3 linked regions of the Rhinolophus ferrumequinum genome follow. The protein of the gene in region 2 interacts with the protein of the main gene of each other region in a pairwise test. Links are inferred from orthologs where the notes say so. Each region holds a gene or a part of one and is shown on either strand. Other genes may lie near its edges. The genes, in order: POLE3, DRAP1 and NFYB.

Region 1 (9,989 bases), on a different chromosome or scaffold from region 2:
CGGATTGCAGTCATTCCAAGGCAGAACGCTAAATAAAGGCAAACATTTTATTCCTATTAGTAAAGAGAAAAATGCTGAGGAAGTACCTTTTGCAATCTGTGACTTATGTTGGGAGGTCTATTCGCATAGTTGATCAAATCTTTGTCAGGTAAATCCATCCAAGGTCTAAAAAATGAGAGTTTCCGAACATGCATCAGAGACACAAAGACTCCTTGGGGTGATAAAGTCAGTGCTATGAGGAACAGCCTTCTACTTATCTACAGAAAGCCTTGGGCTCAAGACATCAAATGAATGGAGGGTCTTGCCAGCTCCTTAAGTTTTGTTTGTTTGTTTTTCCTGGAACAGCTCCCAAACAGACACTGCATATTGCAAACACTTTAAAACTATTTGTTGCATCAAACTTAATTCACGCCTATGTCTCTCTCTCTCTCCAACTACCGATAATTACATCACATCAATAGAATTGTAAGTCCCTTCGATGCAGATGTTCAAAAACATGTTAAATAAACAAAATGTGGTATATGCAAAGGAATATTTCTCAGCCTTAAAAGTAGTGAAATTCTGATACCGGCTACAACATAGATCAACCTTGCAGACATTATGGTAGGTGAAATAAGCCAGACACAAAAGGACAAATATTGTACGATTCCACTTAGATGAGGTACCTAAACCAGGCAAATTCACAGACAGAAAATATAATAGAAATTATCAGGAGCTCGAGGGAGGAGGGAAGGAGGAGCTATTGTTTAATGGGTACAGAGTCTCTGTTTGAGATGATGAAAAAGTTCTAGAAATGGATAATGGTGATGGTTGCACACTGTGAATGTACTTAATGTCACTAAAGTGTACACTTAGAAATGGTTAAAATTGTAAATTTTATGTTATGTATATTTACCACAATAAAATAATATTGTCCCCTTACATTTTTATATCGCTTGCTATTTTATTTATTAAAAAAAAAAAAAAACATGTTAAGGGGCAGCTGGATGGCTCAGTTGGTTACAGCGCGAGCTCTGAACAAAAGGGTTGCCGGTTTGATTCCCACATGGGCCAGTGAGCTGTGCCCTCCACAACTAGATTGAAGACAACGAGCTGCCACTGAGCTTCTGGAGGGGCGGCCGGATGGCTCAGTTGGTTAGAGCAAGAGCTCTCAACAACAAGGTTGCCGGTTCAATACCCGCATGGGATGGTGGTCTGCGCCCCCTGCAACTAGGATTGAAAACAGCAACTGGACTTGGAGCTGAGCTGCGCCCTCCACAACTACATTGAAGGACAACGGCTTGGTGCTGATGGGCCCTGGAGAAACACACTGTTCCCCAATATTCCCCAATAAAATTTATAACAACAAAAAAAACACGTTAAATGTATAAATGAATGACTATCGCAAAGAAGCATAAGATAGAGACCCAACTCTTTAGCCTGATTTATGAAGCCCTACATGATTTAGGCCCCTGCTTTTTCTTTCCTTTTTTTTTTTTTTTTTGAGGCCCCTGCTTTTTACTCCAGCTCCTCCAGCCTCATCTCTGACCACTCTCCAATTCCTGGTCCATGTTCCAAACACACTGAACTATCATGTTTCCCCGCAAACAAGACCGGATCTTATACTAAGGTTTGCTCCAAAAGACGCATTAGGGCTTATGTGCAGGGGATGTCATCCTGAAAATTCATGCTAGGGCTTCTTTTCCGGTTAGGTCTTATTTTCGGGGAAACACGATGTGTTTCTGACACCTAAAGAATTTCCTCTTGCCTCCTGGATCTTGCATGTGCTAGTTCTGTAGTCTAGAAGTCTCTTCCTTTCTACCTCCCACCTGCAACCCCTTCTTCACTAAACTGCTCTAATGCCAGGTGTAGGCATAGATGCCACCTATATGGAAGACAGTGCCCTGGGTGCCTCCACACACCTGGGCAGGCACTCTTCTCACCACACTCATTACAATGAACGATTCTTTACTTCCCCGACTAGGCTGAAAGCCCCTTGAGGGTAAAGGCTGTTATCTTGTTTACCACTGTCTCTCCAGTGGAGAGCAAAGTGGCCCCCACTAGGACATATCTGGTAATTCAATGAGTGACTAAAAAATGATGCCATGGGGCCGGCCTGGTGGCTCAGGCGGTTAGAGCTCCATGCTCCTAACTCCGAAGGCTGCCGGTTCGATTCCCATATGGGCCAGGGGGCTCTCAACCACAAAGTTGCCGGTTCAATTCCTCGAGTCCCGCAAAGGATAGTGGGCTCCGCCCCCTGCAACTAAGATTGAACACAGAACCTTGAGCTGAGCTGCCTCCCGGATGGCTCAGTTGGTTGGAGCGCATCCTCTCAACCACAAGGTGGCTGGTTCGACTCCTGGAAGGGATGGTGGGCTGCGCCCCCTGCAACTAGAAAACGGCAACTGGACCTGGAGCTGAGCTGCACCCTCCACAACTAAGACTGAAAGGACAACAACTTGAAGCTGAACGGCATCCTCCACAACTAAGATTGAAAGGACAACAACTTGACTTGGAAAAAAGGCCTGGAAGTACACACTGTTCCCCAATAAAGTCCTGTTCCCCTTCCCCAATAAAATCTTAAAAAAAAAAAATGATGCCATGGTCTTTACCTTCAGAGACCCTGACTGGGAAAAACCACTACTTTCCCAGGGCTCACCTCAAGTCCTAGAGAAACTGAAAGTAGTCCTACCCTCTCCTATACTCTTTAGCCTAAGAGAAATCATCCAGGGATTCCTTAAATCGAACAGGAAACAAGAAATCTCTACAAGGGCCACCACTAGTGCTTTGATTCCAGACAACAAGGTCTTCATATTTTAAAAGTCTAAGTTTTCCACAGATATCTTAGTTTCATATATCAGAAAACACCAACTGGGTGACTACATTCAAAAGGGAGATTCAAAAGGAAAAGCCATTGCTTCTGACTTCAGGAATTTACAAACAGTTTCATACCTAAAAATAAAAGAAAGACAGCATGCATAGACAGTTTTCTGATGACCTATAGAAGTTGATGAGATAAATATTCCCTGATATGGGCTGAATTGTGTCTGCAAAGTCATTTGCTGATGTCCTAACCCCCTGTACTTCAGATTTTGACTGTATTTGGAGGTAATTAAGGTAAAATGAAGTGCTACAGGTGGGCCTTCATCCAGTATGACTGATGTACATGGAAGAAGAGAAGATTAGGACATGGGCACACACAAAGGGAAGACCATGTTAAGACATAAAGAGAAGATGGCCACCTACAAGCCAAGGAGGGCTCAGACGAAAACAGCTCTGCCAACACCTTAATCTTGGATTTGTAGCCTCCAGAATTTTGACAAAATTAATTTCTGTTGTTTAAGATACCCAGTCTGTGGTACTTTGTTAAGGTAACAAAGCAAACTAATACACCTCCCATTTTAACCAATTCCTAGAACACAAATAAGAATGCTTTCTTTTAGTTTCCAATTGCTTATTTACCACTTCTTTAACTGAATCGATGCTTTATTTTTAATCCAGCTTTCTCAAAGTCTACTACGTGTATAAAGGAAGTCAACCCCAAATTTTGAGATAATAGGCCCTTAAAAGACGATTCCATGATAATTTACCTGCCTTGAAATTTGGAGTCCAGTTTTGACCTCTGAGACAATAAAGAGTGAGGCTTAGTGAAGGTAAATTCTGATAAATGATGATGAGCATGTCTCTTGGCCGGAAAGCAGGAATCTGAGATGTTTACAATGGTGAGCACTGGGAGTTTGTCTGAGAAAGCAGACCAGAAGAAAACATGTAACATGCCAAAAAGGAACCAAATGGAAACAGTTCAAAGATCTTGTAAGGAAAGAGACAAGGGTTGGCTAATTCACCATTAGCATCCAGAGGAGCTCTGCAGGGTGAGCCCAGGATTCGAGGGTGGCCCCTCTCAATTCGGCGGATAGTTGCCCAGCATTGTGGATGCTGACAAACAGCCAAGTTACAGGTGGTTTCATCCCACTGGCTCTCATCTGGCAAGTCCATAGTTATGAATGGTTTAGGACACAAGCCAACCTTGCAGCTTTTTAGCCCTCTGGAGAGACAGTAACCACATAATTAGGGAGTATTATATACTAGCCATGCAGTCCAGATTTTAATTTGGACTCAAAAGTATAAAATATTTCTATTGAGTCCATATAGGCAAATGGTGGTCACAAAATAATTAAGAATAGGGTAACAAGCAAGTATGAAAACATCTCAGCATGAAGTAGAGTGTCAAGAGTTTGGGAGCAGACTGACTTTAGAAGGTCTCCTAATTCACCATTTAAAAGATTCGTTAGTCTGAGCCTCCGTTTCCTCATCTGCAAAATGAGAATAAGCCTATTTCACAGGGTCATTACAAAAAATTAGTTAATGGATATTAAAAGGTCCGGTATACAGTTCAGAATGAATATCAGCATCCTTTCCTTTTCCCCTTCATTAATCACGAAGGAAATGATACCATCTCCAAAAAGCCTTATCAAATCACAACTAATGTAGTCACAGAAGTGCTTTTACATGGCTCAAAACTTTGAAAGCCATAGGCTTCACTTTTCAAATGCTCCAATTTTCATACAGGCAGCTACCCACCGGAAATTAATAGGTTTGCTCAAACAGCAAATCAGTAGACAGACTTGCAGTTGCATCAGAGGCCATTGGCTTTTCATTTACTGTCTGTAGGGTCTTGGACAAGTGACTTAACCTCTTAGCCTGTTTCCTCATATCGAGGACAAGAAATCCCTAAGCAGGATTGTAGAAGGATTAAATGAGATCATGTACTTTTAATGTGTGACAATATAATAGGTGCTCAATAAATACAATCATCTTTCTCTCTCTAAAAATGTTTTAGGCAATCATTACCACCTGGTCCCTAACAACTTTTTAAGGACAGTGTCCATTTGTACTTTCTTTTATCCAAGATGTTTATTATTGACTACCAAATATGTGAGGGAACCTGTATAAGCATGGAAAACAATAAAAACAAAATAAGTCTCTGTTCTAAAGAGCTTATAATTTAGACCAAAGGTAGCAAAATATTGGTCTGGGATTGCACCTGGTCTGTGTCTTGTTTCATTTAGTCTTCACTTTGGGCCATTATTTCCATTTTAAAATGGAAATAATCCATACTGTCCAGATTTCTGGCTCCTTTTAGCAATCAAAATATCTGACAACACAGGGGGGCCCAATTCCAACTAGACAGCAATTGACTGAAGCTGAGCATCTCCTGACAGCTTTAAACCAGGTCTGTCCCATCAAAGTGGAGAGTTTTCCCACCAGACCCTACAGTTTCTAACCGAAGCAGTTTCAGTTGCCATTTATCCTCAAATTCCTGTTGCTTTTCTCATAATAGGGAAATATTTCTCTATACTCATCAAAAGCAGGAAAACGAAAGGGTGACTTGGGATCTCTTTCAAGAAAAAAAAGCATTAGTACTCAGTTAGGAGTGAGGACAATTTCTACATACATAACATGAAAATGATACAACTTAAAAAGCCACTGTAAAGCTGTGGTAATGTTTTTGACTGGGAAAGATGTTTTATGAACAATTTAATCAACTAAAAAACCACAATTTTAACAGGGTTTGTTTTTGAATAGGAATGTGATGTTGCCGGCTGCTTATCGACCTTTCCTTACCTGACCAGCCCGAATTGGCAATGCCCCAAGGTCTGGTCATGCCCACCTTTATGTTGCCAGCATTGCCTCTGCGCTGGCTAAATAGATTGCCTTCAAAAATTCTAGGTAGCAGTTATCCTTAATACTATTACCACCAAGTTGGGAGGGGTGTAATGATTAAGGATGGACATCAGCTCCGCTAAGAGTTGAAAAAGAGACTCCCCGCTTCGTTCCGGAAAAAGGGAGGGGAGAATTCGGCCTCGGAGGGTCGCGGTTCCGCGGAGTCAAAGCAGATGCCACACCGCTGGGAGGCCGAAGCCCACTGGGAAAACCTTGCTCCTCGCGGGGCCGGGATGAGGTCTGTGAGCCCCGCCCACCAGGCCCCGCCTCCCGCCCCAAGGGGCCCCGCTCCGCCCGCACCGTCCTCGCCTCCGTCTCCCGAGCTAGCCGGCAGGCTGCGCTGTCGCTAGGCAGCGGCGCACGGTACCCTGCGGAAGGGACGGAAGCCCCAGTGAGCCCGACTTAATTTGGTGAAAAAGCTCCACACGTGGTGGTGGGTGAAGCGGACAAACGAGCTTGGGAAGGGACGCCGAGTGTCAGTGGGGCCAGACGGAAGCCCCGGCGGACCGAAACCATCGGGGCGTGGAACGTTCGGCCGCGCCAGCGACTTGAGGCGGAAGCGCGGCTGCTGGAGGAGGGAGGCTATCGCGCGCGGGGCCGTATGGGACACGATGTGGGCAACGTGGGGCGGGACGGAAGCCTCGTTGGGTCAGACCGTGGCGACGCGGGAAGTCTGGACGCCGTAGCTGCCTAAAGAGGAGGCCTGAGAAGGAGGGCCGGTCCCAGTGGCGGCAATGGCGGAAAGGCCCGAGGACCTCAACCTGCCCAATGCCGTCATCACCAGGATCATCAAGGAGGCGGTGAGCAGCTGGACTGACGGTTGGGCCAGGGGCGGACGGACGGGCAATGGGGGAGACAGGTCCTGGGCCCGTAGCTTTGCTCACCCCCGCTCTTCTCGCAGCTCCCGGATGGTGTCAACATCTCCAAGGAGGCCCGGAGCGCCATCTCCCGCGCCGCCAGCGTCTTCGTGCTCTACGCCACATCCTGGTGAGGCGGGCAGAGCTAGCCAGACCTTAGCTGTGACATAAGGGACTGTGACATAAGGGAAGCGCAAAGAGACTCCCTGCGCCCGAGTTTGTGGCTTTTAGCCCACAAACCCCAATTACTATCCTACCTCAGTGGAGGGAGGTTCACAGCCTTCATCCACTTTTTGCAGGATCTGAAGCAAATAAAACAAAAAATAACTTCGCTTTAACTTTCTTGTACAGGGAAAAGGGAGTTACCATGTCACAAAAATCCGTGCATCTAAGACATGGGCTTTCCCATTCCACCCCTGGGTGCTCCTTTTTCTATCTGATCCATAAGTGGCAAGGGCGAGTCTGGTGACCCTTAATATTTCTCTTCTTGTTTCAGTGCCAACAACTTCGCCATGAAAGGGAAACGCAAGACACTGAATGCCAGTGATGTGCTCTCAGCCATGGAAGAGATGGAGTTCCAGCGGTTCATTACCCCGTTAAAAGAAGCTCTGGAAGGTAATGACCATTTTATTTTCTCAGTCAAATAGATAGATGTTCATTCCGTGTGACCTTCTCACCTGGTCCTAAGTCTTTCTGGCTTGGATCCCTTGAGTCCAGTAAGCAAGTATTGGGTGTGACTCAGAACCATTTCAGTTGGACCATCTCAGGTCTTATCATTCTAGCAGGTAATTTTTCCGTCTGGGCCTCAGCTTTTCCAGTTATACACAGGCGTTAACTGCTGCCATCTGTGTGGTTCAGCCTTGCCTCCTAACTCCCTCCTTCCTCCTTACAGCATATAGGAGGGAGCAGAAAGGCAAGAAGGAAGCTTCGGAGCAAAAGAAGAAGGACAAAGACAAAAAAACAGATTCAGAAGAACCAGACAAGAGTAGGGATGAGGATAATGACGAAGATGAGGAAAGACTGGAAGAAGAAGAACAGAATGAAGAGGAGGAAGTGGACAACTGACCAGGGTGAGGAGACTGTGGCACCTTGGAAGGTACCACTCAGGAATGTGCTGTATGTTTATATGAAGCTTTTTCCTACTGGGCAGAGCACTCTTAGGCAGCAGAGCCTGAGACCATCGAAATGAAAACTGGCTCGAATTACCAAACCGGCACTTCCCAGACTCAGAACATCTGAGTAGCAGAATCCTGTTTTGCTTAATTGGCCTGAAGGTTATGACTTTTTGGCAAGAGGGATCCTGAACGGATAATTTCATCAATCAATTTGATCTCTCTTGTTTATTTTTATATGTGATTAGGCAGGTTTTGATTCTCAGTTCCTTCCATGCTTACCCCACCAAAAATAACAACTTCCATGCCATGTGCTGTGTTCCAAATCACAGAGGCAGCCAAAGGCTCAGGAAAAATTGAGGCTTAGATCATGGTCAGCCTGCTTGTACAGTATCTGACAACACTAGCTATTACAAGTGGTCAGAAAGGCTTAGCTTTGGGAAACTGCTGAAAGGCTATGGGAGAACAATGGAATCTGTGATCTTTACTTGACTGTCAACATTCATTGGATTTTGGTTTTTACAGACCCACTTGGCTTGGGGCCCTTCTGTATTGCCTGCAAACATTTGACCTGTTGGTGTGCTGCACTCTGGGAAAATATGCTTTTAAATCAGCATTGTAGAGTGGAATTAGTCAAGCAAGTGTGCCAATGTCTAACTCTTAAAAAAACAAATGGTTGGTCTTAGATGCACCTCACTGCCTTCCACTGTACAATGTTAGGATTTATTGTGACCCAGAAGGTAAAAATCCCAGGTTTTTCTCTTACAGGCCATCTCCCAGACTTAGGACTATGGCTTTTCATTCTTCCAGTTCGTGACAAGTTCCAAGCTTTATTTCTTCTAGGCACAGCTTTCTCCTGTGCTTCTCACTTCCTGTCTCTCTCCTTCCTTTCCTTTGCTCCCCATTCCCGTTATCTCCCTTCTTTTCTCACTTCTGTCAGTCCAGAAACTTGAGTAATCTGCTTTATATCCCAAAGTACAGGTTCCTCTGATTTCTTAGGTCCAATTTCATGTCTTTTAAAAATGATTTTGTAAACCTCCTGAATCTTCAGGGAAATCCGATGGTGCTCGAGAATCTAACCCCCCACCCCCATTGCCAAACCATCCCCTTTAACTATTTGTAAAATATCTCTATTGACCTTTCTTCATTTTTTTTTCTCTTTCCATTTAGTGCTTCAAGCACTTTTTTGTCTCTAAGAAGGTTGACAGGTGTAGTTTGACACTTAATTTGTGAAATGAATACAGTGAAAAGTTGATAAATGAGTGAAGAATGTTGAGAAAATTGCAGTGCTTTGTACAAATAAAAAACATTCTTGTTAAAAGTGATGACTACTCTTTCATGCTTCTTCGTAGTATGCTTTGGGGGAAGACCCACTGATCACGCCCTGTACAGTTTTTGGACTGTGGACTGGGCCAGACCTTGCTAATTATGGGATCCTGCATCACCTTGGATGACCGGCAGGGCTGCTGTTTCCCAGGCAAGGGAGGCTCTGTCCCTCAACCACAGCGAGAGAGCTTTCCATGGCTCTGCAGGGCACCCTGGACATACTAGATGTTCAACAACTCCAAACATTTATTGAGTTCCTGCTATGTGTCTGGCACTCTTCCAAATGCTTTCAAGTATTAACTCTTAAACCCTATGAAGGCTCACTGCTGTTATCGTCATGATCCCAACTCTAATGCTGTATTACCTCTCTAACCTACATAGACTTCTCAAATCATGGATTTATAAATAACATTCCTCAAATATAAACCCCAACAGTCATTAGATCCAGTGGCCTTTTCCTTCTCCACGGCAGAAACATTTCTTAATTCCTATGAGCACCACTCCTAAGCCCTCAAGTCCCATCTGGACTCCTGTGGCTTCCTTTGAGCTCAGTTTCCTGCCTCATCTCAACTTCCCCTATGTACTGCTTGCCAAGTGGCTCTTCCTGGAACATTTCTGTTACAGTCCCACACTGTTTCCTATTAAATCCATACTTAACCCTGTTATTCAAAGCCTGCTTAAAGAGGGCTCGCCTTACCATCTGTTCTAATCTGCTTCTACTCCAACATAAAGCTGTAGTCAAGAATGAATTCCCAAAAGAACTCCCTTTCCACGTGGCTTTGGTTCTTACCAAACTTTGACTACCTAAGAAAAGTCACGTTTGCTGAAAGTAAGGACTGTGACTTAAAACTACAGAATTTAAGAACTGGGAAGAATGCGGTCATCCCTCAGTTTTTCTCACCTCTATCATTCCTGTAGTGGTATCTGGATTTTGAACATTCCTTATTAGACTAAGGTAATGTTTCTCATCATTTTTAACCATAGCCCTTGA
Region 2 (10,712 bases):
CACCCCCACCTACGCGTCCTCAAGCCTTTTGCCTGGCGGGAGGTGGTCCCAGCACCCTGGCCTCCTGGCCTTTCACAATCCAGCCTTGTCATTCTGAACCCTCTCAGTTCTGAATCTCAGCCTTTGGACAGACTCCAGCAATAGGCTCCCAGGGTCTCTTCCTCTCCCTCCCCCATTCCTCACAGCCGCTTGGTGTCCTCAGCTCCGTGGGCCCAGGTGCCCACCTTTCCCTGGGACTGAGCCCAACCATTCCCGCTCCCGGGCCGGTGGGAACCACCTCCCATTCATGGTCCCTGCCAGCCAGAGCTCTTTCAGTTCCAAGGGACACAACCCAGGTGACTTCAAGAGGGGAAATGTTTATTGGCTCACGTAACTAAGAAGCCTAAGGCATGAAGGCTTCAGGCAAGACTGGGTTCAGGTGTTCAGATGTCATCAGACGACTGTGCCTCTGCGCCAACTGGTTCTACTGTGCTGGCTTTGTTCTCAGTCAGAATTGCCCCTCAGGGTTGGAAGCAGCTTCCAGCAGCACCCGGCTGACATTCCGCCAGCTTTGCTACACTAGCATGGCCGCCATCACCCTCACCTGGACTCCTCAGAGGGTTCCCTGCTGCTCTCCCAGCCACGGGGAAGCCAGCGATCATGTCAAAACCCCTTCCCACTGGTCCCATCTAAAGTCCCAGTGGTCATGACCGGCCTGTACCACTCACTGGGGCCAGAGCGAGTGTGGTGGGTGATGTGATTGGCCAGGCTGGTGATGTTCCCATCCCTCCACCCCAGGAAGTGGGGTCTGCTGCACACACTGCAGGTGGAGTACAGAAAAGGTGATTCCCCAAAAGAAGGCAGAGGTACTATATCCAGAGGGGGAGCACACGAGAGGCAGACAGGACCCACATGCCCCAGCTCCAGCTGCCCTGGGCCCTTCCACACCTGCCAGCAGCCTCCTAATTCACAGAAGTCAGATATCTTGGGTGAAAATTGAATTCTGCAGTCCTCCCACCTAAACCTCCTCACCGCCCTCTCCCTCACCAGGTTGGGTTTGCCTTGGGCACCCCCCACCTCACTCCATTCTCTCCCCTCCTATCCCACATCCCCTCCCTCACTACAAGCTTGCATCTGCCCTCTTAAAACACAAAAACAGAAACTCCCTGCTCCTCACTGAGCTACTGCTCCCTCTCCACTTCACAGCTCTGAGCGGTGTTGCTTCAGCTCACCTCAGTTTCTCACCTCCAGCTCTCCCTGCCTCATCAACAACCAGCAAGCCTCTGAGGCAGCTGTGCGGAAGGCTTCCCTAAAGCCTGCAATGTGTCCTGGTGTGTGACAACTGGCCTGTCCCTTCTCCCAGAGCCCCCTGGGTGGGCACATCCAGTGGCTCCTGGGGGTTCTGGGTCTGGCTGCTCTTCAGTCTCCTCTGATGGGCTGCCCCTCTCTCCCGAGGTGAAGTCACCTACTCTCAAAGTTCACACATCTGTCTCTAGGCCCGTGTCCAAGTGTCCACTCCACACCTCTCCTCAGCGTCCTCACAGGCACCCCAAATTCATCACAGTCAAACTTGTCATCTTCAGGCCTACTCCCGCTCTACCTCATGTCCCCCAGCTGGAAAAGGCCCCTGCCCGAGCTGCTGCAGAAAGAAACCTGAGAGCCCTTGAGGGTTCCCTCCCTCTCTGCCCTGTCCAGTCAACCATCAGCACTCAAGTTGACCCACTGCTTTCCATGCCTCCTGCCCAGCCTCAAGCCACTGCTCCCTGAAGCACACGTCTGCCTCCGTGGACACTGCAGCTTCAGGGTCCGCTCAGAAATGGCCATGGACTGACGAACTGTGTCACTGCCCCGATCACAAGCTGGCCTTCGAGACTCTCCACAACCATCCCACCTACCTCTGCTCCTGCTGCCCCTTCCTCTACCCTTCATGGCACCAGGCTCAGAGCTCTCCAGTTCCTATTACTCGTCCTGTCTGTCCCTTAGTTGCAGCCCCCAGTGGACAAAAAGGTCTCCGTCAGAGGACAAGAGGCTGTTCAGAGAACAGTAGGAACCTGTCCAGGGTCACACAGCACAATGAGATAGGTTGTCCCCCAGCACAGCGGCACCTGCTGGCTCAGGTCCTACACCACTCTGTCCACCTTCCTTCTCTCAGCACCCCTGGTCCTGCGCTGGCACACCCGTGGCCTCCAGCCCCTCCTTTCACTCAGCAGCTGCCCGGCCCACCCCTGCTCCTGCCCCAGCTCAGTGTGAGGAATTCAGGTGGAATGGTGGGAAGGCCGCCACAAAGCCCTAGACAGAGGCTGGGACAGACACTGATGTTCCCTTTTGTTATTATTTTTTTAATAAATTTAAGAACAGCTCTACCTTCTCTCCTCCCCCCAGAACAACTAAAACCAACTAAAAGGGGGTGTGGCCTGGGGGGCAGAGGGCGCTAGGAGTCATAATCTTCTTCATCCTCTGCGTCAGGTGCGGAGGGAACCGGAGGTGCTGGGGGCAGAGGCAGAGTCGAGGTGAAGGGCATGAAAGGTGTTGGGGGGCTGCAGGGCAGAAAGCAGGAGGGGCAATCAGGTCACTCTCCGGGCCCATTCCGACCCCCTGAGCCCCACTCCGCCCTCCACACAGACAGCATGGAGCCCCCCACCCTCTGTACCAAATGGGAGCCAAGCCCAGAGAAGGGAAGGGCCCGAGCAGGTCACAAAGGCCCTGCCCAGGCCCCATCCACTGTGGGGAAGGGACTTTCTGAGAGTACAGTCTCCTGTCTTTAAGCCCTCCTCAGTTCTTCCCTTCCCATCCCCCAAATCTGCCACAAACAACAGAAGCAAGTGACCAGGAAGGACAAGTCAGCCTTGGGGAGTCTGCTGGCCCCCTCCTGGAGCCACTGAGCTGCTTACCTCTGAAAGTGGGAAGGGGGGTGGCTGGCCTGGGGTGGAGCCTGCGCTGTCTCCTCTTCCCCATCAGTGTCACTGTCTTCAGACTCATCCTGGGAGCAAGGCAGGGGTCAGGGGTGACAAGAAAGGCATGGGACCATCACTGAAACCCCAGACCTCTCGGAGTGGCAGGGACAGGATGCTGACCTCCATCACCCCAATTTGAAAACAAAGAAATCAGGGTACAGTGAAGTCACAGGTGAGGGTGGGCCCAGGCCTCCAGCCGGCTCGAAGAGGCAGGACAGAGGGCTGGGGGCTTCACTCACCTCCTGCTCAGAGTCCGTCCCTGACAGCTTCTTGTCCTTGCCTTTGTTTCCCATCCCACCATTCTTCCGGCTGCTGCTGCCTGGCTTCCGGCCCCTTTGGGAAGGTATAATCCATCTGCTCAGAGGTGTCCCTGCTCCTTCGCCACCCCCCAACCCCCTCCATCCCTGGTGGCCTTGGCCTTCCAGCCTGGACACTCGGCCCTAACTCCCCACCTGCGGGCACCCTTGTCCCCGTCCATGTGGTTGTCTTCCCCATCCCCCTGCATGTCAGGCACAGATGCCACCAGGTCCTTTAAGAAGTCAAACTGCTGCTCCAGCTCGATGCACTGCTTCCTGAAAGAGGTGAGGCGGGGATGGCATCTGGCAGGGCCCCAGATGTCTGCTCTCTCAGCAAGGGTCAGCAAGAAGCTCTGGATATTAGGAGAATGGAGTCTGGAAAACCTCTACCACCCGACTTCCTCCCTTTGCTGGAACACCCAGCCTTTCCTCTCCAAGTTCGAACCACCAGTCTCTAAGGCCTTGCTGGTCTCCCAGTAGCCTCCCACCTCCCCATCAGGACATAGGCTCTCTTAAGTGTGTGAACGCCTGGGACAGGGCCCCACTGGGCTCTTCCAGCTCGCAGCCACTCACAGGTGGGATGTGGTCATGGTCTTGGCGTTTCGGGACTGGGTCACCTGGCAGGCCTTCTTCAACAGCGACTCCAGGAAGAGCTCAAGCGCCCGGGCTCAGAGTCGTCAAGGAGAACGCGGGAGTGGGGTCCCAGCCCTCACAAGGCGACCCCCGGCTGCCTCCTTCCCCCACGTCCCTCAACCCGGCCAGCCCCCGACAGGATACAGATGATGACAGGCACAGCCGCCGCCACCTTCCCAATCTCTTCGTCCGTCTGCATGATCTTCTTGATCCGCGCCTGGGGAGGAGGCAGAGAGGTCGGACCCCGTCGCCTCAGTCCCAGAATGGGGTACTGGGGAGAGCGAGAGGGGTATCCCGGGAGAAAGGGGGCGGGGGGCAACAACGCAAGGAGGGCACAGAAGGGGGCGGGGCGTCCGGGTCCCGGGGCACGGCGATGCGCCCGCCCCCCAGGCAGGCCTGGGCCCGAGCCTCCCGGGAGCTGGGCCCTCTCCTGCCGGGCCCAGCCACATGCTCACCGGCGGGAACCGCGCGTTGTACTTCTTTTTCTTGCTCGGCATCTCCGGGACTCTCTCGCCGCGCCGGGCCCAGCGCCGCCGCCTGCAGCCTCCCGGCCCCGGGGCCTGCTCGCCACCCGCCCGTCGAGGTTCCCCCGGGTCCTGGTGCCGCCCGCTCCGCCCCCGCCGCTCCCCACGGGGTCCTAGCGCCGCCGGTAGGCAGCCTCTCGCAGGGTCCGAGTGCCCGCCCCTCGGAACCTCCTGGGCTGTGCGCGTCGGTCCGGGACCCGACCGCCACTCCCGCCCGCCCCCAGGCCAGAAGAGCGAACGTTAGCCCCGCCCCGCCGCAGGCCCGCCCCTCCTGGGTTTCTTGATGGCCTCGCCCCTGGGGTCAGCCCCGCCCAAGTCCCGCCCCCTCAGTGGCCGGCCCCGCCCCGCGGCGCGGCTGCTCTGGCTCGGGGGCCCCGCCCCGTGCCGCGCTTGTCTATCTATAAAGTTGTTGTTGAGGCGGCGGGGCGCTAAGATGGCGGCGGCGGCGGCAGCCGTGGCGGGGGCGGGGCGCGGCGGCGCGGAGCCCCGGCAGGAGCGGAGCCAGGCGCGGGGCTGGGTCGGTGCCGAACGCAGCGAAGGCCGAAGGTGACGGCGGGGCGGCGGGAGGGGGCAGAGTCGGGCGGGAGCCAAGCTCTTGCGATGGGCGCTAATGGCGGCGGGCGCGGCGGGGCCAGAGGCTGGCCCTCCCGCTGGTTCTAACAAGCCGGGGTTCGAGTCCGGGCACCGCCCCATTGGCCTCGGACCCGTCACTGCCTTCTCTGGTCCTCAGTGTCCTTATTTTTTAAGTGGGCCAGATAACGCCCGCCTGGGAGGACTTGCCCTGCAGGGCCTGCCTCGGTGCTGAGCGAACGGGGGCTCCTGCGCTTCCCTGCATTAAATGCCAGCGCCCAGGATACCTGCCAGTCACTGGCAGGGCCAGGAGGTGTAGCTGGGTCAGTTGCACCCACACTTGAATTTACAATTAGGCCCTGTCGCTCACTATAGGTGTGACCTTGGGTGAGTCCCTTCTCTCTGAGCTTGTTTCTTGTCTGTAAGTCAGGAAGAGTAGAAATAACATGAGCAATAACACTCAGTCGTGCTTATTCCACCTCAGGCATTTAATTGTCAACAGCGCATTGAGCCAGGAACAGTTGTTATCATTGTTAAGATGAGGCAACTGAGGCACGAGGACTTTAAATCCTGACCAAGGCCACACAGTTTAGTCTAATGCTTGGCACCCGCTAGGGCCCAGCAAGCTGCAAATCTGTCACGAACTTTGTTTCCCTCACAGCAGGATGGAGTCAGGTGAGGAGCTGGAGGAGGAGGACTCTCCAGGTGGCCGTGAGGATGGCTTCACTGCTGAGCATCTGGCTGCAGAGGCCATGGCAGCTGACATGGACCCCTGGTTGGTGTTTGACGCCCGCACCACACCTGCCTCTGAGCTAGATGCCTGGTTGGCCAAGTACCCGCCATCCCAAGTTACTCGCTACGGGGACCCTAGCTCACCCAACTCTGAGCCCGTGGGCTGGATTGCAGCGTATGGGCAGGGCTACATCCCCAACTCGGGTGATGTGCAGGGCCTGCAGGCAGCCTGGGAAGCCCTGCAGACCAGCGGGCGGCCCGTCACGCCAGGTACCCTGCGCCAGCTGGCCATCACCCACCACGTGCTCTCGGGAAAGTGGCTGATGCACCTGGCACCTGGCTTCAAGCTGGACCATGCCTGGGCTGGCATTGCTCGGGCTGTGGTCGAGGGCCGGCTTCAGGTGGCCAAGGTGAGCCCACGGGCCAGGGAGGGTGGGCGCCAGGTCATCTGTGTTTATACAGACGACTTCACGGACCGCTTGGGTGTGCTGGAGGCAGATGCAGCCATCCGTGCAGCAGGCATTAAGTGCCTGCTCACCTACAAGCCTGATGTCTACACCTACCTGGGCATCTACCGGGCCAACCGCTGGCATCTCTGCCCCACTCTCTATGAGAGCCGTTTCCAGCTGGGGGGCAATGCTCGTGGCTCCCGTGTGCTGGACCGTGCCAACAATGTGGAACTGACCTAGTGGGGCCAAGTTGGGGAGACCACCCTCTGTACCCCCTGCTAGGGATGGATCCTCCCGTCTTTCTCCTCCTCCTCGTCCCAAGGAGGCCATGTCCCACAGCTCTAAGACTAGGTCACTCGGGAACTGCTTGCATCTTCGATCCCCTTGAACTTTTGCCCTCTGTTCAGGGCTGAGTCAAGTCCCCACCTGCTGGAGGTTCTGGCTCTCTTAGGACCGGACCCTCAGCCTCTCTCTTCGATGCTGCTCTGCTCTGCCATCCAGGACCATAGGCTGGGTACAGACACCCAGGAGAGAGCCTGCCTTGGCCACCCTTATCCCTGGCTGTACCTCCCCCTCCTCCTGCATTCTCCTCTTCCTCACAAAAGAGAAAACTTAGTGCTTCCAGTCCCTCTCCTTGGAGCCTTCACAGCCCGGGGGGCAGAGGCCCTGCAGGCCTGAGCATGCCTTTTTTTTGGGGGGAGGGTAGGGGGGGCCACTCAGCCCCTGGCAGAAAGAGGGGATGCCAGGGCCATGAACATGGTGTCTGCTCCTCCCTGCCACCTCACAGCCTGCACTACCTTCCCTTCACTATCTTGCCATGTGCCTGCTCCTGGCATTTCAATAAAACCCAGCTTGGGTCTGTGTGTTGAGTGTTTTTTAAAATACCATGTTGTTGGTTACCTGCTTTGGTTGCTGGAGAGAGGCAGGGCCAGGAGAGACTGCCTCTCCGCCCTGACTGGGCCCTCCTAACTGCCCCCAGTAATAAGATACACCTTACTGCCAAGGCTGGGAATCTCTCTTGAGAGCCTCTGCAAAGCCAGCACTGCTTCGCCTTCATCCCAAGAATCAGAATCATCTTCTCAGTGATTTCCCATAAATCCAGGGGTTTGGCCCAGCAAAGTCCAAGGGGCCACTACTAACCCACAGGGTGTATTTGTGCTTATAAGAGAAAGGTATCCTCTTGGTCCTGGCAGTTCCTATGTCAAAGCACATGCATGGTCTGGTGAGTGAGCAGATGGGCTGGATTTCAGCAACGTAGGGTGGACATCCTTGTGCAGCAAACAATCTGCACAACCATAAGTAACCGTGGAATCCCAGCTGGCTATACTCACCTCTCCACCATCCTGGCCATCACAGGGCCCACTGGACAGTTTGCAAAGCACTCCCGTATGCATTACTTAACTCTCACAACCTGTTGAGAAGGACACGTTGGTCCCATTCTGTGCTCAAGGAAACGGGCCGAGGGGAAGGGAGTTCCCTCAGCGTCATGCAGTGAGCTGAGCAGAGCTAGGACTTACCCTGGTCCCTGCCTCCTCAGGCAGAGTGTGGTCCCTGGCCTCACCCACAGTGAGCCTTCACAACCCACCCACGTGATCTCTCTGGGCCACCCCCCTCAACTTAGGCTGCTGGAGCCTCCATCAGAGCCTGACTCTGCACCCTCCCAACCCCATGCCTGGTTTTGGGCCAGGGTGTCTGGCAGGAAGCCCCTTGGGATGCTGCTCGTGCCGTGCCGGAGCTGACTCAGCCTCAAGCAGCCTCACCAAATTGGAATTTGGAGCAGGGGAGCGGAGATGCCACTGGGCTGACTGGGTGGAAGTGGGTGAGTCATGAGATGCTCGCTCAGCCCCCACCCCAAGCTTCCCCAGGGCTCAGTCCCCCTTCAGCCCAGCCCTGGGAAGTCCCCAGAGCTGGGTGGTCTGCAAGTTGGATCCTGGTGCTCTGCCTCCCTCAGACTGTCAGTGCTTTGCAGTTGGCCAGAATGGGCCAAGGCTTGGGGAGATCCTGGCCAGGCCCTCAGGGGTCCCACAAAGATGCCCAGGTCCTGTCAACACCACCTGGTTCTCCTTCCATAACTGAGCATTTCACACACCCCTTCTCCAGCCTCATGGCCCTGCTTTAGCCGTTCTTCACTCTCTTGCGAAGCGCTACAACTTGCCTCCTCTGCCCTGTTCCCCTCCCACTTCTCCCTCTTGCCCCCACAGCCAGCTCTCCCGCAGAGCTGCCTGTGTCCCTCCTACTGGAAGCCCTTCTGTGGCTCCCACAGCCTGCAGTACACAGTCCACTCTCCTGGGCCGGCCATGACCAACTGCCCCAGCTTCCCTCAAGCACCCCTTTCTGCCCATGCTCACCCCACTGGAGCTAACTGGCACTTCTTTCAGCCCCTGGCACACAGCCCTGAGCTTCAGGCTGTTCCTACGGCTTAAACACCTCGTGCAGCAAGGAGGACAGGTGGCTTATGTGATCACTTGATTGACGTCTATCTCTCGTGGGCCCATAAGCCACATACCCAGACTCAGGGCACAGTGAAAGCAGGAGCAATGTCTGAATCTCAGCCCTATTCCCAGAGCCTAGCACAGTACTCGGCTAGAGTAATCTCTCCATAAATTATTAAATGAATGAAAGCGTGAACAGCTCAAATCCAGCCCCTGCCAGCCCTTCCGGCCCCTTCTCCTCCGTTCCCTGCTTCACCCTTGTTTCAGAATCAAGAGCCGCCTGTGGTTTTCTTGCACACAGTCTGGCCTTTCTCACTTTTGTGCCTTTGCTTATGTTGTCCTCTGCTTGGTGTATGTGACACTTGCCTGCTTTCCTGGCTGACTCCACGTCTCAGACCCACCATCCACTGGCTCATTTTCTTGGAGGTTTCTCCTCCCCAACCATGTGCACCCCAGGCTCCCATAAAACCCACCCACCTGTGGCTCTCATCTGAGTGTCTGGGCCCCTCAAGGACAGTGGCTGCGCTTTATCCCTCAGCGTCCAGCATAGGACCTTGGCCTAGCATAAGGGCCAAATCAACATTATTGAATAAATGAGGGATTGATTAAAAGTTACTCTCTGTCTCTGTGACTGTTTCCTCATTCTATTCATCACATGAGCCAGGCACTGTGCTAAGTGTTCATGTGTGTTACCTCCTCTAAGCCTCATCTGGCTCTATTATAGTTGCCATTTTGCAGAAGAGAATACTGAGGACCAGAGAGGTTCAGTAATTAGTTCAAGGTTATAAAGCCATAAGTGGCAGAGCCAAGATTTGAATCCAGGTCATCCAACTCCAGAGCACCTGATGTATTGTTGAGTCCCCACTATAAGAAAGCGCTGTTGGGGTGCAGGGGCTGCAAAGATAACAAAGAGCCAGCAAGGACCCAGCTGAAATCCAGAGTCTGGCAGAGACGCAGAGACGTTCCCCATTCTCTGGCCAACCCCTCTGGAGTCTGTAAAGTACGCAGGTTGGGTCCTCAGAACCCCCTGGGAGAGAGGCTGGGCCAAGACTAAGATTACCATTTTACTGGTAGAGAAACTGAGTCCCAGAGAGTACACTGACTAAGCCTACTTGGACAGGAAGGATCTTACAGGCCTATCATGGGATTGCTCCCCTGCCAGGCCCAGGACTCCCCAAGACCCACCCCCTCAGCCTGCCAGGGCACTCTGCCTTATTTGGCTGACCCCTTCCTACACGGGAGTAAGGAAATGGCCTGGTCCAGGGTGAACTAGGCTGGGACAATTTGGACAAGCCCCTGTGTTCTGCTCCCTTTTATAAAACTATGGGAAGGATGGCTGAGGCCAGGGAAAGGAGGTACTCACATTCATCGCATTGCGAACCCCCGAGCCCCAGAGAGGAGGCTCCCAAAGGGGCAGACCAGAAAATGGGGATCATCTCTGCCTGACTCTGGATTCCAGCTGTGGGTAGGTGCTGAATTGGGGTGGACAGGAAACAGCTGAGTCAGGAGAAAGCTTCAGCCAGAGCTTTGGCTAGGTTTTGGGGATTTTCCCAGCAGGGCAACTGCGCCCCACTGCCGCCTGCTGGGAGGGGCCCTGGCAGGGATGAGACTTGGGTCACACAGCTGATTCATCGCAGAAGGGAAACTCCCCACTTCTCTGACATGCATTCCCCAGGACATTGAGGGGTAACTTGAGGGCACCCAGCCCAGAAACCCACCACCCCCGTCTTTCCTTGATGACTGGCCTCCCAGCAGGGCACGAAAACCCCCTCCAGGCTGGACAGAGGGACAGAGTCAGGCAGGGTGGCTGGGCATAGGGGGCAACCTTCTGGGGAATGACACCAGAGACTGGAACCAAAGTGACAGCTAGACAAAGAGCACCTCCTTCTCACCCATTTTTTAGATGGAAAAACTGAGGCTCAGTAAGAACAACCACATACACAGTCCTCCTCTGCACCAGGCTCTACTCTAAGCAGTTTGTCCTCACTTTGGTCCTCACAGCCCTCATATTACTGAGAAGGAAACTGCAGCAGAAAGAGGTTAAGGAATTTGGCCATGGTCAAGGCTAGAAACTCTCCGGTAGCCTCCACATCTCCCAAGAGCACTTGTAAACACCTCTGCAGCAGGCAGCTCTCTCCCTGGT
Region 3 (10,242 bases), on a different chromosome or scaffold from region 2:
CTCTTTACCAGCTTCTTCCCTCTTCCTTGAACATGCTTAGACTTTCATTAAGCACACAGAAGTGCATGAGAAGCCTTAATTCTACTCCACACCCTTGTCTAGCTTCATTCTCACCCTGACTACCCTTCCACACCTCTTCATTCCTATTTAAATTCCTTGACATGTGCTTTCCCCACTGCAACATGACACTGAAACCTCTCTTAGAAGTTGCCAATGACCTTGCCTTTAGCCTACTTGACTATCTTTATAGTGCCGGCCACTGCCAACCCCACATTTACGCTTGGAATTCTCTTCTCCTTTGATTTCCAAAGCAATATTTTTCCGGGTTTATTCTTTCCTCTCCATCTCCTAATTGTTATTTTTATCCAAGGTTATTGTATTCTCTCTCTTCCCTTCCCATCTTAATGAATTCATTAAGTATCACTTCTACGCTCATAAATCCTAAGTCTATAACCATATCCTGCTGGCCACTCAATAAGGTATGCTTGTAGAACATGTCTGATATCCTATCATTGCCGGAAGATACTGGAAGATACTGGAAAATGAAACTCACCTTCTCCATCCCCTCCAACGAGGCAATGGATGTGAGCTCCTTGATCTCCTTTTCAACTATGGCCATCCTATTAATAAAACCATCCTTCCACTCTTCCAGGCTAATTATACCAGTGTCATCTTACGTTCTTCCATCTCCTCCAAGATCTACCTAATCTGTTACCTCTTTTAAAATATCTTTCGGATATGCCCTTCCTTTTCTATTTCCACTGCATTACTACCCAACTTACCTGAGAACATACTGTTTTAAGAGTAATCTTACTAAAACATCTACAGCTGTTACACCTATAATGGTTCTAGAAGTCTTCAAATGCGACCAAGTCTTCATGGCTGTACAAGAGTGGATCCCCCACTTAACCTACCGAATCTTGTTTTCAACTCTATCTTAAGTGTAATAAAATCTTAGTGCCACTATGTGCCTTACTTATGGATCACCAGGTGCAGTTTTTATTTTAGCAGTGAGGCAACAGGGCTCAAGGAAGCTGTGACAGCCCTGACATCACAGTAGCAGATCTAGAGCTGAGCATCCAGAGGGGCCGAGTGGTATCTGTTCACTCGATTATCCTATGAAATCCCCACTTGGACCATGAAGATCTACTTCCCATCCTCTGAGCATAAGTCACTCGTCCCTGCCTTCAGGCTTTTACATTTGGCCGCACCTTCTACCTATTCAAATGGCATCATCCTTCACGGTTCAGCTGGAGGCCTACAGGCTCCGTCCAAGACATTCCCAACTACCCCGGCCTTCCACACCTCTGCTTTTCACGTGTACTACTATCCTTAGAACCATCATTTTCCATTCTTCATATAACTGTCCTCTTTTAATTCGACTAAAGTCTTACCAGATAAACAGAAAGCCTCTTAAGAGCTGGGATAAGCTTTACCCTGTAGCTTTGCCAGCACTTAGGGGCCCTTAGGAAATACTACATGCAAGTCACTAAAAAGAAGGAAGCTTTAGGAATGAGCATAGGTACCATCTGTCTAGACTTGAAAGGCAGTCATTCTATCAGGAATCTCCAACATAACTCAGTTATAATTTTGTTTCCAGCTAGTTACTGTGCAAATATAATTAACAACCAAAAATGGTAAAACATACTTACTGTCATGAAATACTGTTGTCAGTGGCGTTCAAGAACACCTGTCTAAAATGGTGTCTAATCGTTGCCCAATTTCAACCTAGAAGATAAACATCTATTAGTAGTAAAAATGTACAGCCTACAGGCTTTCTTCCTAGTAAAAATTTTAAAGGCACACATAATTTTACCTACTATTCTTATTCAATGGGGTGCGTGGTATAAAATGGTGCAAAAAAGCAGGCACCCAATAAATGTGTGTTGAATTGGAAGATTCATTTTGGAGAACTGAACTCTAAAAGTTGACTCCATTGCGGAGGGTGGGGGAATGGCTTTTCCAACATAACCCTGAAGTTAGTCATGCTCCCCATAAATATTCATCACAACACATCAAATTATATAATATGCAAGAGACCAAAAATTACACATCTATATTACTTAAAATATTAACACCCAAGGCACAAACACCCCACTTACCAACTGAATTTGGGGGGAATGGTTTTATTAATGTTTTAGAGTGCAATTCAGGGGTCCAAAACCTCAAAAGAGAAAAATTTACCTCGGAATGTAATGCTTTTACATTGAATATCTCAGATTATACTGGGAAGAAGATAACCATGCTGCCCCATAACCATGAAGAACATATATAGAACAAACACAATCAATTAAGACCTCTATTTATAATTTTAAAGCACCACCATTTTGGACTAAAACTACATTCATTAGCTCTTCATTCTCACTGTACATAGCTGAATAAATTGGTATCAATTACAATCTCCATTTCTCATTTGCTCTTTTCCTTTTTTTCAAGTGAAACAATTAAGGGGGGGGATGTCAAAAAGCATCCTTTCAGTGTTAATTTTAAGGAAAGAAAAACTACACGTGCATTCCAGCATGAAATCTAGGAAACAGCAGAAAAATTGTAGCCACTGATTTGAATTTTTAAAAAGCCACTTCAAGGGTGGAGGCAGCAAAGGCAGGCTGACATTGCCTGCTATGATCGTAAAAGCAATTTCTAATTTCTTTTCAAATATTGTCCTCCAACCCCCAAATTCCTTCCCTATAGCCGTGTTATTTGTTAAGCATGTCTTTGAAAAAACAAATTCCTCAGAATACTTATAAGAGCTGTATATATTATGTATTTTGCTTGGGGGAGGGGAAGAGTCACACCTCACCACACTCACCCAAACAGTTGAGTATTTATTTAGATTCAGTATATTAGAGAAAAACACTACCATCTCATATGGTATATATTTTCTTAAAGGCAGGTTATGATACATGTGAGAAAGCTCAAGGGAACCCATACATCTGTTTAAGGTTTCAAGAAATGCAAATTTGTATCCAAGAAATGCAGCGGACCCTTCCTCCACCTTCCATTCTTCCCCACCAGAGTTTTGCATCAATAATAATCCTTAAATTAAGCTACAAGAGCAGTGGGGAGAAACAATAATTGCCTTTTAAGGAATTCTGATGAAACTTTCAATACTTTACAAATAAAACCCCTATTTATTAATGTCACTTATATTGTTTGGTTTACCTTATCACTTTAGGTTGCTGATCAGTTTGCATACTGAGAGCCCAAACCACCCGTGATTCGTAGCATGAACCACGGAATTGAGAAGCCCATGACGGATAGTGGGATGCTGTTTTTTTAAAGGTCGTATGCTACCTGAGCTTGTTTAAATTTATCTTGTTACAGTACTTTGGGGGAGATCACGACTTGTGGGTGCTCTGTAATTCTTTGTTCTCTCAGACTACTGCTCCTAAGGCCCGGAATATCCTCCCCGCCTCCCATCCAAGATTAAACCTTAGTCCAATCCGAAAGGCTTCCTTCCCACCTTCGGGGCAAGTCCAGGGACCGCAAGCCGCCAGATGGTTGCATTCTTTACGTGTAAACCAGACTGCGGGGAGACCAAATCCACTCCTTCCTCCCAGGGACCTCGCTACCTCCCCACGAAGGTGCGCGAGCTGGCCCCAGCCCCACTGCCCCGCCGATCTGTCAGTCCCGCCTGTGCCCGGCGGACGCCCCTGGCGCGCATCCCCCCAACACGCCTGGCCCAGGCCCCGGGCCCGCGCCCAACGCCTACCGCCCGCCCGCCGGGCGGTGCCAGGGTTGCCGGGACAGACAAAGCGGCCCGGCCCCGCCATGCCCCCGCGGGCGGAAGGGGGGCACTCCCCAGGGACCCCCGCTCCGCTGCCAGGCCGAAGGAACAGGGTCGGGATCGGGGGCTGGAGCTGCGTCCCCCGCCCCCCCCGGCAGGCCCCCACGCAAAATGGAGCTGGTCCGGGCGCCGCCGAGAGGGGGGCCCGACGGAGCCCCGGCGCCCCTTTCTCGGCCTCCGGCCCGGAGCTCAGCGGCGACGAGCGGGAGGCGGCCTGGCCAGCGTCCCGCCGCTCCTCGGCCCCGCGCACAAAGAGCCGCACCGCGGCCCCGCGCCCGCTTCCCGGCCGGGCCCGCAGCGGGAGCGGCCTCGCAGACGCCGAACCGGCCCCGGCCCCGACCTGGGCGGGAGGGCGGGCGGGAGGGAGGCGAGTGCCCCCGGCCGCCGCGGCGTTGGCGGCGGGGACGGCGCCGGCAGGAGACGGACATTTCATTCGAGCTAAAGTGGAGTCGGTTTAGGAGCGATCATTGGCCGAAGCGAGACACAAACCTCCAATGCAGCCCTGGTTGGCTCCCGTCTCCAATCGGCTGTTTGGTTGGACAGAAAATGGCTGCGAAGGAACCAGTCCCAGCGCGGAGCTCCGCTTCCAGCACTCGGCCTCCCCTCCCTCCGCCGCGGGCCGCTTCCCTCGGCTCGACACCCTCCCTCCGCGCCTGCCGCGCGCCCTCCCGCCGGCCGCGGCTCCGCCCCCCGCCCCGCCCCCGCTGAGGCCCCGCCCGAGGCCCGGGAGCCCTGCGGCCACCCCTGCGCTATCCTGCAGAGCGGGCTGTGGGCCACGCGCGGCAGGTTTTGGGTGGCAGCGGCCTGTTTGCTGAGCCGGTGCTTCTTCCAAGGGCCAGGAGCCGGCGCACTGCTAAGGACTCCGCGGGCTTTCTTCCCACGGTCTTTCCCCAGGCCTCTGCGAAGCGTGATTTCTCAGGTCTTCCTCTCTTTAAGGCCCCCGCCGTCCCCACGTGGAAGTGTCTCACCCGCCTGAGTGCAGCTTGCCTGCGCCTCGATTTTTTAAGAAGGGGAAACCAAGGGCAGAAGCCGCCAGCCAGGACGACACCCGAGCTACTGGGTGGATTTGAAAGGCAGTTAGCTCCTGGAACGCCTTCAGCACCTCGTGTTTTCCTTGCGTCCGCTGTTAACTTTGCCAAATGCACAACGCTCCCTCTGACTTGGTTACTGAGCTCCGGTGTTCGCTTTTTCGGATTTCATCTAAAGATACAATCCTCTCCCTCAGGTTTAACAAGTTCGTCAGTCGAGCCATCCTTCACCCCGAACTTAAAATGTTGCATTTCCTGCCACCTCCATAGTAGTTGCAACCTGACATGTAGCTTTTCCCAACCAGATGACATTTAGGCTGCAGGAATCCGTGGCCCGTTCTTGCTTCGGTGCAGCCAAGCTCCTTCACTGACTTTCCCGGACTGCAGTCTGGGTGGGACTTACTTCCCTGGGCTGAGACCATCATAGATGGGCAATGAGCCAGAAGCCACTCGCTGCAAAGAGCGGCAGGATTTCTGCAAAGGGAGCCGGGAATCTCCTTTACTTCCACTAAACAAGTGGGCTGGTGCCACGTTCATCCTTCTAGCTTTAATCATTTAAAAATATATAGACGTGTTTTATTTATAGGGCTCCTACTGTTTCTCCACATATTTTAACTTTTCTGGAGCAATGAAGGAAGCAAAGACAAATGAAGTCTCCAAATTATTCCAAGAGTAGTACGGAGCAGCGTGCCACTGTGGAATCAGACGACCTGTTTGGAATTCCAGCTCTTCTTGCCAACTTGTGATCCTGGCCAAATTGCTTTACCTCTTCCTGATAGTTTCCTTACCTCCGTAAGGGAGGTAATACTAGCTACTTCTTAGGCTTGTTTGGAATTAACATAAAGTCAATACACATAATACACATAGAAAGCACTAAAGAAAAGTTGGCTTATTACTAAAGATCTTTATAGGACATGATTTTTAATCTTCATCAAACTTTTAAAAACTTATTTGCTTTAAAAAAAAAAAAACAGGAGTAAAATTGGCCTGCATTTCACTTCTCCCTTTCTCCATGATTACCTATAAAGTGGAGTTTTAGGACTGAAATGATGTGCTCAAAAGCAGGAAATACAAAAAAAAAAAAAAAGGCAGTAGCGGAATTGCGAGAAGTATGACTAATCCACACACTGGATAGTGAACCAAACGATGCAAAGATGACTGTTTTCTGAGTTAATATGTTATTTCAGTACTGTTGATCTAACCTACATGCTTAATTCAGATTCAACAAAAGATTATTCAGCTCCTACTGTTTACCAAGCACTTGTGTGAGGAGCCCCAGGCTGTAAAGGTGAACAAAGCACTCACTTTACCCTCGGTTGCTAATTCTAGGTGACGGGGACCTAGTCCACAACCTCTCTGCAGTTGAATCCCAAGGACAACCTGTCCTTTTATACCTGTATTCAGAAAGCCTCAATAAATGTTAACCATTTTTCCTGCTCACGTGGTAAGAGAGATGTGGATCACAACTTAGTCTTGGGAAAGACATTATAGCTAATCTAGATCCTGCATTAAAGTCAGAGGACAGAGGAGAGGGGTCTTTCTTTATTCCCAGTCCCTACACTACAGCTATCCCTTAGTTTATACCACCAATTACATGAGTCATAATTCGGCAAACAAAAAAACCAGAATCTTGGGCACAATGAAGACTTAGCTGGATTTTACATTATTGCTTTAATGAGGCCTCATAGTCCCGTGATGACAGTGTCTATTATAGTATTGTCCCTGTTTCCAACTTCCTGATTTGACTCTTGCCCCCTTTCTTCTCAATCCATTCTATGCAGTAAAGGCCTGGAAGGATCTGGGCTTTAGGTTGCCTCTCTCCGCACCCCCACCCCCCACCTTCTAGACAGACTCATGTTGACTCTGCTACAAACACACACACACACCAAGTTCTTGCTGTAAGCTCTTAACTGGCCTCTTTTCATCTTTGAGGTCTCACCTCTTCAAAGAGCCTTTCTCTGACTCCTAAAGTAGCCTCACCTCATTACTCTCTAGAATGTCATCCAGTCGTATCATCCTATGTGAAGGTAAATATTATGTTCACTCCAATACACTTAGCTTAATTGGATTATCTTGTTTATTTGTTGACTATAAACATATTCCAAATGAGAACACTTCTTATTACCCCCCACTTCTACCACCGTGGTTCAAGCCACATCTCCTTTTACCTCCTAACTTGTGTCTCTGCTTCCACCCTGGCCTACATAGCAGCCAGCATGTGATCCTTCAAAGTAGAAGAAAAAGTCTAGTTGTTCTTTGGCCACAGTACAAGTAATCACCAGAATGTATGTTAATTAATCAATCAATGACAACCTCCCAATCAGGGACAGCCCCTTGTTTTGGAAATTAGCCAATCAGCAATAGCTACACCCCAGTAATCTTGCTTCCTTAGCTATCTGTCAGCTCATCCCTAAACCATCCAGCTTCTAAAAGTGCTACTCCCTGAACCTCATAGTGTTCCCAAAACACTATGTAAGACCACAGATTTCTTTGTTCAGAGATATTCTACCTTACAATGCAGATGTCCTTTGCTTAGCAAGAAATATATTCAGTACTTTTTGTTTCCTTTTAGAGATGAATGGTGACCTCATGAGATCTATGATCTGTCCCCTCTCTCCTTCCCCTCTAACTTTATCTCCTCCTAGTTTCTCCTTTGCTCAGTCCACTCCTTTTTGTCCTTATTTCTGGCAGGAACACTCCTGCATCAGAGCCTTTGCTTTGGCTGTTCCACCTGCCAATGGAACAGATTTTTCATCCCTCAGTGTCCTCACAGTTCACTCTCGCATCTCCTTCCATTTCTTAATGAAGCCAACCCTGATCCCTTATGTAAAAATTGCAATTTCAACTAACTACCCCCACTCTCCTTTAACTGCTTTATTTTATTTTTCAATAACACTTACCACCTTCTAACAAACTATAGACTTTCCTCTTATTTTGTTCATGGCTTATTGTTTGTCTTTTCCCACTAGAAGTTACTCTATCAGGACAAGAATTTTTGCTTGTTTTGCTCACTAGTGCATCCCAAGCACAGAGTAGGTACTCAATAAATATTTGTTGAATGAATGGATTTTTAATATTTCACCTTATTAGAATATAAACTCCTTGAGTACAAAGACCTTGTTTTCACCACTGTATTCTCAGTGCCTGGAACAGTAGTTGGCACATAGTAGGAGCTCCATAGATATGCATGCGTGGAATGAATGTATGAGCAAGCATTGGAAAAAAACTATATTTTAATTGATAATGTAAATGACCATGAAATTACCAAAGCCTTATGAGTTATCTTTCTCCAGAGAAACAGAGTTAATGAACATATTTAAAATTCCTCAAGTTATTATAACGTGTTAATCAAAATATTCAAATCATTCAGCAGTATTTCTCCATGGATTAGATGAATTAATATACTAAAAAGCATTGAATCATATGCGCTAAATGGGTGAATAGTATGATATGTAAATGATATCCCAATAAAATTGTTACCAAAAAATCCTACCCATTGTTAATATCTTTGTATGGAAGGACACACAAATTGATAACACTAAATCTCGAATAGAAAAATAAGCAAAGAACATAAAATAGAAAATTCATAAAAGGAAAAAATACAAATGGCTAATAAACAAAATACAAGTGCAAATCAAAAGGAGAAACCTATCAAATAAGCAAAAAATGTTACAATGATGAAGATGTGTTGAGATGGACATTCCCATACACTGATGATGGGAAGCTTTCTAGAAAGCAATTAGTCAGCGTGCGTTAGCAGCCTTTACAATGTCTTATTCTTCTAGTCAATAAATATATTATAAGGAGATCATTTGTAATGTAGCTAATAAGATAATTAGGCAATAAGGTATTCAGAAGAGCACTGTTACTATTAATAGTAGAAAAATTTTGGGAAGAGCTATGTGGTAGGCAGACTCTAAACTGTCCCCCAAATGATCCCCACCTCATGGTATAATCACACCTTTGTATAATCCTCTCTTTTGGAGTGTAGGCTGGACTTATTGACTTGCTTCTAATGAATAGAGTACAGCAGGTAACACTAGATTACAAAGAGACTGTGAATGCTGTCTTGGTAACTTTTTGATGGATGGATAGATGACAGATTAGATGGATAGATGATAGATAGATATATAGATAGATAGATAGATAGATAGATAGATAGATAGATAGATAGATAGATGTGTAAATAGATATAGATATAGGTGTGTCTTTAAGTATGTGTATAAATATGGAGAGAAAGAGAGGGAGAGAGAGAGAATGAAAACATGTCTCCAGCCAAAAGCCAGCAAGGAACCAAATTCTGCCAACAGCCAAGTAAATTTGGAAGTGGGTCTTTCCCCCTACTTGAACCTTGAGATGACAGCAGTCCACCTGGTAGCTTGGTTGCAGCCTCGAGAACCAAGCCCTGAGCCAAAGTCACTCCCAGATTCTTACCCCACAGAAACTGCGAGATAAGAAATGTTTCTTGTTTTAAGCCAGAGTTTTAGAGTAATTTGTTACACAGCAATAGATAACTAATACAACCTAATTGTCTAACAATTTGAAATGTTTAAATAAAGTATGTCACAAAATAAAATATTATGCTGCAATTAAATTTTTTAAAGAATTTTTAATAATATGGGATGATGTTCAGAATACAATGTTGAGAATATAACAAACGGCACAAAGATATATAATGCAACCCCGATTTTGTAAGTTTATATTTATATGAATACTAACAGAGAAAACCTGCAAGTAAATATGTTGAAAGTCAGCAGTTTTCTCTGAAAAACAGAATAGGGGCTCAATGCATGCTTGTTGATTTCAGTTAGAAAATCATTTATTCAGTCCATTTTTATTGAATATCTACAACAGGTCAGCCAGCCCTGGGGGGAAAGTGGGGAACAAGATCAAGTCCCTGCTCTAGTAAAACTCATTTCTTGATGAGCTCCATGGTGGTTTCTGCTATGGTGGCAGTGTTAAAAATAGAGAGATGGAAGGTTGTGGATAGGTTGGCAATACATTTTAGAGGTAGAACATTTTAGTGCCAAAAAAGGAATAGTGAATAAATAGGGTTTATTCTTGGGTGGTTGGCTTGGGTAACTTGAGTGGAAGGTGGGACAGGCTCTAGAGCTGGATTGCTTAGTATAAAATCCTGGTACTATCAACTACCAGCTGAGTGACCTTGGGTTCACAGGCTACACATAATGTCTGCATGTCCTAATCTCTTTACCTGCAAAGTGATGCTTTTCCTCATCCATTTTGGAGATAACAACCTAACTCTTAGGGTTGTTGGGAGGCATGAGTTAGAATAAAGAACTGAGAAGAGAGCATGGCAAATTCAAAAATGGCCAACAGTCATTAGTCATTATTGTTGTTGTTATAATTACTGAGAAGGGGATGACTGAAAAAGAAATCAAAATTAAGAATGACTGTGAATACAAGAAG

The links.
Region 1: the proteins of DRAP1 (region 2) and POLE3 interact in binary tests that used the Homo sapiens proteins (3 or more experiments, as listed by UniProt). The two-hybrid records come from large-scale screens. The link is inferred for Rhinolophus ferrumequinum from reciprocal best matches to the Homo sapiens genes DRAP1 and POLE3.
Region 3: the proteins of DRAP1 (region 2) and NFYB interact in binary tests that used the Homo sapiens proteins (3 or more experiments, as listed by UniProt). The two-hybrid records come from large-scale screens. The link is inferred for Rhinolophus ferrumequinum from reciprocal best matches to the Homo sapiens genes DRAP1 and NFYB.

What each region holds. Positions count from the first base shown.
Region 1 is NC_046295.1:65,273,952-65,283,940, reverse strand, and holds the start of POLE3 (DNA polymerase epsilon subunit 3), read left to right. Parts: upstream 1-5,999; 5' UTR 6,000-6,437; coding exon 6,438-6,503; intron 6,504-6,604; coding exon 6,605-6,690; intron 6,691-7,056; coding exon 7,057-7,175; intron 7,176-7,452; coding exon 7,453-7,625; 3' UTR 7,626-7,630; exon of another isoform or gene 7,631-8,997; intron 8,998-9,024; 3' UTR 9,025-9,989. UniProt on the Homo sapiens protein: Accessory component of the DNA polymerase epsilon complex. Participates in DNA repair and in chromosomal DNA replication.
Region 2 is NC_046294.1:5,915,700-5,926,411, forward strand, and holds DRAP1 (dr1-associated corepressor), read right to left. Parts: upstream 4,590-10,712; 5' UTR 4,360-4,589; coding exon 4,318-4,359; intron 4,080-4,317; coding exon 4,007-4,079; intron 3,897-4,006; coding exon 3,803-3,896; intron 3,506-3,802; coding exon 3,386-3,505; intron 3,267-3,385; coding exon 3,173-3,266; intron 2,960-3,172; coding exon 2,871-2,959; intron 2,517-2,870; coding exon 2,411-2,516; 3' UTR 2,298-2,410; downstream 1-2,297. Other genes in the region: C11H11orf68 (UPF0696 protein C11orf68 homolog), read left to right, coding at 4,820-4,932, 5,618-6,377. UniProt on the Homo sapiens protein: The association of the DR1/DRAP1 heterodimer with TBP results in a functional repression of both activated and basal transcription of class II genes.
Region 3 is NC_046293.1:15,777,547-15,787,788, reverse strand, and holds the start of NFYB (nuclear transcription factor Y subunit beta), read right to left. Parts: upstream 4,416-10,242; 5' UTR 4,277-4,415; intron 3,601-4,276; exon of another isoform or gene 3,163-3,600; intron 2,066-3,162; exon of another isoform or gene 1,821-2,065; intron 1,729-1,820; 5' UTR 1,659-1,728; coding exon 1,653-1,658; intron 1-1,652. UniProt on the Homo sapiens protein: Component of the sequence-specific heterotrimeric transcription factor (NF-Y) which specifically recognizes a 5'-CCAAT-3' box motif found in the promoters of its target genes.